2 linked regions of the Saccharomyces cerevisiae S288C genome follow. The protein of the gene in region 1 interacts with the protein of each later gene in a pairwise test. Each region holds a gene or a part of one and is shown on either strand. Other genes may lie near its edges.

Region 1 (4,273 bases):
TCAACAAAATTGCACATTTAATTGTTTTTACTAAAAGTTTAGGAAACCGTTGTCACGATGTAATTAAAATTCTTGAATTCTTGATATGAAGGCTCTTTTCATGATGTGCCACATGAGTACAGCCGATATTTGAGAAACGTAGAATAAAATAAAACGTTAAACGCCAAGATATTTACTGTTGCAAAGTTTAGAATGGTATGGAAAGGGTTACTGTTAACTGCTAACTCGAGTATATATTGTCACGATTGTGGTTCATTATTTCTGCTAGAAGTAATGCTTACTAACAATTTCTCGGTCTTATTTATATCCTAAACACTCTCCTTTACTACTTCATCGTCACTGAATTCTTAGTCCATGAACAGTTTTAAAGTACTCTATTTTCTTTATCCGGCTTCCCTAACCTCATATATTATCTTGCAACTTTATACAATTGAAGCTCTCAAATGTCAACAAAATATGAAATAATCAAAAATCAAGAAATAAATTTATCATTATATTTAGTCATGTATCATTCAAGGGGAGCAGTAGCTGATATACACAGTTTAACTATTTAAAAACCTTTTTAAATCCTGACCAGCCGGCTCCCAAAGGATTATTTTTAGAATTAGAATATTCGAATAACGTACCATTTTTGTTTGCAGTTTTTATTTCTTCAATAAGCCTTTCTAGTTCTGAAATCCTATCCTGCAATTTCAAATTTTCGTCCATTACTTGGGTATTCTTTTTCATTGTCTCTTCCAAATCTTTCTTTAAATCATTGGGCACATATACACCTAAAACTTGCTTCTTTTTTTCTGAATCCAACTTTTTCTTCAAATCTAAAATTTGAAGTTTGTAACCATTATTTTCATTTAATACAGACTCGATATTAAGCCGATTTTTCACTAACTCGTTCGCAATTGTCACATGCTCTCTATTTAAAGATGTGTAGTCGTTTTCTAATTTACGAACATGCTTTTGTAAATGTAAATTTTTTTCCGTGATAGACTTATATTGCACTTCTTTTTCATTGTCCAATCTGTGAATTTCCTCATATTCAGAAGAATATTTCTTCATAGTCTTTGGGGTTATTGCTACTTTCATCATAGAGTCTTGTAGTAATTTATCCATACATTCATTTGAGAGAAGAGTGTCACCGCGTGTACCATCATTCTGCTTAATATAAGCATCTAACAGACCTGATTTCAATAGCTCCAGCATATCATCAAAACCCATTTTTAACAGATGGTCTCGGGAATTAGATAAAAGTGTGGCTAAAATTCTCATAATAGAGTCAATACCTTCTAAAAATACCATATCACCGATACGTGGTTGAATTTCAGTGGGAAGTTTCTTTTGAAACAGTGTCGTGAAGAAACCGGGCAAAAACATGGAAGAACGGACGCCTTTTTCAACCATGTGGTTGTGAATTTCAGGATAAAATTCTTCTACAAGTCTATCAAATTTATAGCAAAGAATATCGATCTCAGAAGCACTTGGTAAGAACAAGAGTCTTAAACCGTAAACTTTCATTAGGCGTACAAGTAGACCAAATGCATTTGCCTCCTCCTCGCAAACGTCAAGAATCATATTGATAATATAAGCAATGTCGGTAGAAAACTCACACTCTGGGTCAAAAAGTAAATAAGCCTTTAACACATTACTTATGCGTTTTACGTATTCAGAGGGAACTTCGTCCATCATTTTTAGCTGATTTTCAAATTCCTGGACGTCAAAAGGTGCCATTTCCGTTAGATACGTTTCATATATAGGGTCAAAGGATTTCGATTTTGCATAACTTACTAACTGCCAGACTACCAATCGATAAGCGGCTGGTATACCTCGAGATAGTTGGAAATGTAAGGTTTCGATATCGTTTATTAAGATATTTTGATAGTCGCCGATAACCTTTAACCAAAATGAACTAACCTCTTCAGGAATTTCATTGTTGTTAATTTTTTTTGAATCTTCTTTTAAATTTAGTATATTTTTATCCAAATCACATTTGATAGAGTTATCTTCACTTTTATAAAAGAGCATATTTCTCTTAAATGTACTCGCTAGGAAATGTTTTTGAGCAGCCAAGTCTAAAGGATCTTCTATACGGCGTGGTGGTAAGGTTGGAGGGGTCGATGAAGAAGAATTACCTACAGCACTCGTTGGTGATTTGGAGGGAGTCGCATTACCATGGGGCGCCTTCAAATGAAGAGTTTCCGCATTAACTACCTGCCTCGGAGGTAACTGTGGTCGGTCAAGGGGGGCTTGATCATTTTTATTTCCTGCTAGCACTGGAGGCAATGAGGATTTAAGAGCAGATGCAGATTCTTCTATGCAGTCAGCCCTCGGTGGTAATGGGGGTGAGGTTATTCTTTTTAGAGCCTCTTCAACTTTGGATTCTTCGGTTTCTAATTGCTGGCTGAGGTCATCGGATGGTAGTATGGTTTTACTCTGGGATTCTTCTCTCAATTTTGACTGCATCAGAGCCTCATGGGGATTTGAAAAGGCGCCGATTGATTCGCCGTCTTTTGCACTTTCATTTGAGCCAAAGTTACTGGATGCATTTGTGGTTGCCATTTCTACTTTCTCATCCGAATATGCTTTTTCATCGCCTTCTGGTACTGATATTTCATCCCTGAGAGCGATGCGATCAGAGTCTTTCTCTGGCTGGGTTTGATGGGGAGTTCGTGGAACTTCAATGCGTTCTTCATGTATATCTTCATTCGAATTCATCTGTTAGTGTGTTTATATTTGTTTTCTTGCCGCTATAATCATAAGAGTATATACATGCAGTACTAGTGCAATTGTTGTATATTCTCGTTAAGTGCTTTTCTTTGCCTATGGATAAAGTACATATATGGCTTATTTTCTGCCGAATTTTCATGAAGTTTTTATGCGAAGAGAATGCAAATATAACGATAAAAATAGAATGTATTAACTATAGAGACAATGAAAACAAGCACAAATATATATATATATATATATATATATATATGAACACACAACGTGCGTCCATGTGCAAGAACAAGTAAAGTAACCTTCTTGGTAATAGCGCGATGAAACAACGTCTTTGCTAGACCAATTCATAAGTATCATAGGATGCATCTGATAAAATAGGTGAAAAAGCGCTCCTAGAGGGAAACGAGGGCTCCTTAACAAAAGACCATACGCTTCCTGAATTGTCAACATTAACCAGAGCATTCAAATTTGTACCTTCTAGACTGATATCGGGAGACGTATCTGCGTAAATAACACCCGTAGCAATATTCAGACCTGCAATTAGTTTTTCTGTTTCCACCACAGTTGAGTTTGGAAAATGTATTCGAATCTTATTTCGATGAAAAGTTATCGGCAATGATCCATAATTCTGCAAGATCATGTCAACACTACTGTATATTGATTTTAATTCGTATTTGTAATTTCTAATCATTTCATCCAAATCCGCTAACAAAGAAGGATCTAAAAATGACAAAGGTGCGGAGAATGTCCCATTAACGTTAAATTCTGAAATGGTAAATTCAATATAGGAACCTGGTTTTTCCATGTAATATGCGCTTGTTTCATCAACGACTTCATTCTGGGTCTTCATTATCTTAAATAGTTCTAAATTACGAATGAAATTGATATCCTTTTGAGATAACTTCTTAAGGGCAACTGGTTGGACGTGATCCTGTTTAGAGGTAACATTAGACGCATTCTGATAAGCTTTGCAGGAATTAGAGTGGGAGCACTGATTTAATCCGCCTAGTGAGTTGAAAAAACACCTCAAAGATATAGTCATGTTATTCACGGCTTCTTGGGTAAATTTGATACTGGAAGTCGAATAAGCTCTCTGCCCTAATAATCTCTTTGATGTAGTCATATTCCAGTTGGTAAAAAGGCCCCTTGGGGCTCCTTTGGGCACTCTGGGAAAAGAAGCAAATTTACTGACATTGGGAACAGGTCTGAAATGGTCAAACCTTGCGATTCCTCTCCTCGTGAGAGGAGATACCGTTAAACCACTTGCCCTCCTAAAAGCTGTAGAAGCCTCAAATAGGCTCTTCCACCAAGTGACAAAAATATTGCGATTATATTGGTGGGAAAAATTCCCATGGCTCAAACTGATCAGCGTTCGGTCCAGAGACTTCGTGATCTGCCTGAGGTGGACCCGTGACATTCGCAGCCACATGCTCCAGTTATTACCACCGACAGCCATATTTCGTGTTGGTGCTCTTCTATTGTGAAAGAACCACTTTAGATCATGAAATGCGAAATGTGAAGGAAGAGAAGCTTCTCTCCACATGTCCTTTATATTTAT
Region 2 (5,649 bases), on another chromosome or scaffold:
TACCATTCTAGACTATGATCCCTTAGAGATTCTCATTCTTTAAATATCAGCTTCAACAGCATATCTTTATAGTATTATCGTACTACTGGCGACATTAGCAAATCAAAGTATTTTTGCTCAGTTTCTAGTTTTATCTGTTTGATTCCCCATTAGATGGTAAACACGTTGTCTTGATGACTGAAAAGGAAGTGAACATGGTCAACTCAAAATAACCAGACTCAAAATAATTGCAATTACCTAGGCTAGATATTTTTAGAATATTATGAGAATATTTTTAGAATATTTGCAACCCAAAATATATTTAAATGCCGCCAATTTGCAACCAAAAGATTATCCGCTACCTTTTTTTTAGTCATTGAATCGTAGCATAAAGTTCCGAGCTTTGAAAAAAAGCTTTGAACTAAGAAAAGGTAAGAGATCCTCAATTATGATATTACTCCAAGTCATATGCACGATTTGGACATGTCTCTTTATTCCGTTACTCAATGCAGAGGAATTCGTCCCCAAAGTAACGGAGACTCTTTCAGAATATTCATTTAGTCTAGAGAGCTTTGACGATTCCAACAGTTTAATCAGATTAGATAATCAAGTCGTGTGGATAAGTTCCGATTCTGGAGAAAATTGGGAAGCGGTCAAAGAAATTGAAGGGCATATTCTCGAATTAATTGTTGATCCTTTGCATGGACAGGACAGGGCTTTTGTTTCGATACATTTATCACCCAAATTTTACGTCACCGATGATCGTGGAAAATCATGGAGGGCTCTGACTATACCCGTCTCTGAAAACTGTCGTTTGGGTACTTCTTGCTCTATAGCTACCCATCCGACAGATAAAAAGTACCTTATTGCAGATTGCCCTTGCTTTATAAACGACAATGGTTATATCCAAATACAAAATGAAACTTACTTTACCAACGATGGGGAATCCTTTTACAATATCGAACCTTCCTTGAAAAAGAAAGAAGATGACCATATAACAAGTTCAAGCTGCAACTTTGTCAAATCTAGCAAGGATTCTGATATTGAGGGTAACGACGCTTCGATACTATGTTTGTTCTCGAACCATGGTTACGATAGCGATCGTCACTTAAGTGCCGCATATACACAATTAGCCTTAAGTACTGATGGAGGTAAAACTTTCAAAAAATTTGATGAGTTTAATGATAAAATTATTTATCAATACAAGATATTAAAATCACATATAATCGTTTCGACACAAGATGATAGATACAATGAAATGTCACCCATGGACATCTGGATATCCAATGATGCGTCTACTTTTCAAAAGGCACGTCTACCTGCTCAAGTACGGCACGTCCATATGTATGGAATTTATGAAGATTCTATTGGAAGAATAATCATTCCTATATCTACGATATTCACAGATGAAAAAAACGACCAACCAGCTCCCTCAGAAATTTTAATATCAGATTCTCAAGGGTTGAAATTTTTACCTGTTGAATGGACAATAAATCCTCACTTTGGTTATATTGATATTGCTTCTCCTCATTTCTTAGAAGGAACAATAATTGGCTCGTTTCATCCTTCCTTTGACTACTCTCATAACAAAGGAAAATATAATAAAAAGATAGCCAGATATGAAACTAAAATATCTGTTGATAACGGCCTCACATGGTCAAATTTGAAAGTGGTTGACGAGGAAAATGCAGATTCATTCCCTTGTGATATCACTAGGCCTGAAAGATGTTCGCTCCAGAACCCTTTTTATAGTATCTAAATCTCAAATCCTACTGCCGGAATTATGTTAATGACAGGTTCCGTTGGCGACGGTAGTGAATTCGATTGGGAAGACCAAAAAACTTTCATCTCTAGAGATGGCGGTTTAACGTGGAGATTTGTTCATAATTCTTCTGGGTTATATGCTACTGGTGACCTGGGAAATATTATTGTGTATATCCCATATGATCCAGAGGAAGATGGCGATTTTCAATCTGAATTTTATTATTCTTTGGACCAAGGTAGAACATGGAATGAATATGAGCTGACCAATGCCATAAGTTCTGTCCATCCCTACAAATTGATAAATCCAACACCAGATGGATCTGGCTCAAAATTTATTTTTAAAGGAACGTTTGCCACTACCGATTCCGAAACCAACAGTATAACTTCTTTAAAAGGTGTCGAGTATATAATTGATTTTTCAGCAGCATTCGACTCTAGAACGTGTGAGGAGGAAGATTTTGAAGATTGGGATTTGGCGGATGGGAAATGTGTTAATGGCGCCAAATACAAGTATAGAAGGAGGAAACAAGACGCCCAGTGTTTGGTAAAAAAAGCATTCAAAGATTTGAGTTTAGATGAAACGCCTTGTAATAGTTGTGGTGAATCCGACTACGAATGTTCGTTTGAATTTGTTAGGGACGCAAACGGCCTGTGTATACCAGATTATAATCTGATTGCCTTTTCCAACATATGTGACAAATCGAAGGATAAATCTGTGTTAGTAGAGCCATTACAATTAATCAAAGGTGATGAATGTAAAACACCCATGAAAATTGAACCCGTTGATATTCCGTGTGACGAAATTCCAGAGGAGGGTTCGAGTGACAGGGAAATAGTGACCACTGAAAACAAATTTGACTTCGAAATTAAATTTTACCAATACTTCGATACAGTTGCCGACGAATCTTTGGTCATGCTGAATTCGATAGGAGACGCCTATATATCCCACGATGGTGGACAAACAATAAAAAGGTTTGACACTAACGGCGAAAAAATTGTTGAAGTTGTGTTTAACCCATATTTCAATTCTTCAGCATATTTGTTTGGCTCTAAAGGTAACATATTCTCAACACACGATAGAGGACACTCTTTTATGATAGCTAAATTACCTGAAGCCAGGCAATTAGGTATGCCACTAGATTTTAGTGCTAAAGCACAGGATACTTTTATTTACTATGGTGGCAAGAATTGTGAATCAATCTTAAGTCCAGAATGTCATGCAGTAGCATACCTCACCAAAGATGGAGGTGAAACTTTTACAGAAATGCTTGATAATGCAATTCATTGTGAGTTTGCAGGCACACTCTTTGAATATCCGTCAAATGAGGAGATGGTTATGTGCCAAGTAAAAAAGAAGTCTTCAGAAACAAGAAGCTTGGTTTCTTCGATAGATTTTTTCCAAGGTGATAATAAAATTATCTTTGAAAACATTATCGGCTACTTGTCCACTGGTGGCTATATTATTGTTGCCGTACCTCATGAAGACAATGAGTTGAGGGCATATGTAACTATTGATGGTACTGAGTTTGCCGAGGCAAAATTCCCGTATGGTCAAGATGTTAGTAAGCAAGAGGCATTCACTATTTTAGGATCTGAGAAAGGATCGATATTTTTACATTTAGCAACAAACTTAGAATCAGGACACGATTTTGGAAACCTTTTGAAATCCAACTCGAATGGTACTTCTTTTGTCACTTTAGAGCATGCCGTTAATAGAAACACATTCGGTTATGTCGACTTTGAAAAAGTTCAAGGTCTTGAAGGTATTATTATTACCAACATCGTTTCGAATAGGGAAAAGGTTGGAGAGAACAAGGAAGACGAACAATTGAAGACGAAAATCACCTTTAATGACGGTTCAGATTGGAACTTTTTGAAGCCTCCAAAGAAGGATTCGGAAGGGAAAAAGTTTCCCTGTGATTCTGTATCATTAGATAAATGTTCTCTACATTTGCATGGTTACACTGAACGTAAGGATATCAGGGATACATATTCCTCCGGTTCCGCGTTAGGAATGATGTTTGGTGTCGGAAATGTTGGCGATAAGCTTCTACCATATGAGGAGTGTTCCACTTTTTTAACCACTGATGGAGGAGAGACGTGGACTGAGGTTAAAAAAGGCCCCCATCAATGGGAGTACGGTGATCATGGTGGAGTCTTGGTTTTGGTCCCCGAAAACGCAGAAACTGATTCTATTTCTTACTCCACCGATTTTGGTAAAACATGGAAAGATTATAAATTCTGTGGCGACAAAGTCCTCGTAAAGGATATAATCACCGTTCCCAGAGATTCTGCTTTGAGGTTTTTGCTATTTGGAGAAGCAAAAAACATGGGTAGTGGTTCATTCAGAACGTATACAATTGATTTTAGAAACATCTTCGAGAGGCAATGTGAGTTTGATATTACGGGTAAAAAAAGGGCAGATTTTAAGTACTCTCCTCTGGGTTCCAGAACTGGTTGTCTATTTGGTCATCAAACCGAGTTTTTACGTAAAACCGATGAAAAATGTTTTATTGGGAATATTCCACTTTCTGAATTTTCGAGGAACGTCAAAAACTGTTCATGTACGAGGCAAGATTTCGAATGTGACTATAATTTTTATAAAGCCAGTGATGGTACTTGTAAATTAGTCAAAGGCTTAAGTTCGGCGAATGGTGCCGATATCTGCAAAAAGGAACCCGACTTAATTGAATACTATGATTCCTCTGGCTATCGAAAAATTCCCTTATCAACCTGTAAAGGTGGGCTGAAATTGGATGCACATTTAGCACCACATCCTTGTCCGGGAAAAGAAAAGGCATTCAGGGAAAAATATTCTATAAACACCGGCGCTTATGCGCTGGTTTTTGTTACAATTCTTCTCGTTATTTTCTTTGCCGCATGGTTTGTATACGATAGAGGTATCAGGAGAAATGGGGGATTTTCAAGATTTGAAGAAATAAGATTAGGAGACGATGGGCTGATAGAAAACAATAGGACCGATAGAGTTGTCAACATCATTGTAAGACTAGGATTATGCATTTCTTTAATTACCAAGTCTGCATTTCAACGCACGAAGGCAGGTGTAGCACGCTTTTCTTCAAAATTAAGGGCAAGGTTTGGCAACAGAAAAGGTCCTACTTACTCTTCGCTGCTTCAGGGTCAGTTTTCAGATGAATCAGATGGCTTGCATGAAGATGCTAACGATTTATCCAGTTTCACAAGTCAAGACAGTAATTTTGAAATTGAACAAGAAGATGCTTACAGACCCGAACAAGAGCACACGTCACAGATAGACCAGCCTGCCACTAGCAATATTCCAGACGCATTGCCAGCACGTAGTGCTATTCACAAGCCTGATTCAACTGCTGTGCGCAACGAGGACGAGTAAATAGATTTTTTTAATAGACTAAATAATCGTATGTTTGCTAACAAAAAGTACGCATATGCATTTTCTCAATATTGTGCATTTTCTAAATCTCCATTCACCTTTGTTATTAACATAGTCATTTAAAGGTATGATAATTCAGTATTCATCTTTTCCACAGACGGCGCTGCATGCCATTCGTCTGTAACTTGCCTAGGGACTGCGCCGCACATAATCGTGACAGAAATTTCAAAAGTGATAGGAGCCAAAAGTGATAGGAGCCAAAAAGAACATATATAAGCACGATCAAATTAACTGAACTTGACCACTTTTCTTTCACTGTCAGAATTGGACGAAGGACAAAAATGTCAAATATCATTGCAAGATTTCACAAGATTCAAGTTCAAGACGGTGTAAAGGTTTGGTACCGTGAGGCCGGTGCAGCAGGTAACCCCACAATTTTATTGCTACATGGGTTCCCTACATCTTCCAACATGTTCAGGAACCTCATTCCCTTACTAGCTGGACAGTTTCACATCATTGCTCCGGATCTTCCTGGG

The links. Proteins that work in one complex are often made in the same cells at the same time.
Region 2: the proteins of GYL1 (region 1) and YNR065C interact in a protein complementation assay, tested with the Saccharomyces cerevisiae proteins (one large-scale study listed by BioGRID).

What each region holds. Positions count from the first base shown.
Region 1 is NC_001145.3:645,554-649,826, reverse strand, and holds GYL1 (Gyl1p), read right to left. Parts: upstream 2,710-4,273; coding exon 547-2,709; downstream 1-546. Other genes in the region: SPG5 (Spg5p), read right to left, coding at 3,050-4,171. UniProt on the Saccharomyces cerevisiae protein: Probable GTPase-activating protein which stimulates the GTP hydrolysis rate by GYP5 of YPT1 and SEC4. Involved in ER to Golgi trafficking and polarized exocytosis.
Region 2 is NC_001146.8:749,814-755,462, reverse strand, and holds YNR065C (uncharacterized protein), read left to right. Parts: upstream 1-1,762; coding exon 1,763-5,113; downstream 5,114-5,649. Other genes in the region: YNR066C (uncharacterized protein), read left to right, coding at 428-1,738; YNR064C (epoxide hydrolase), read left to right, coding at 5,455-5,649.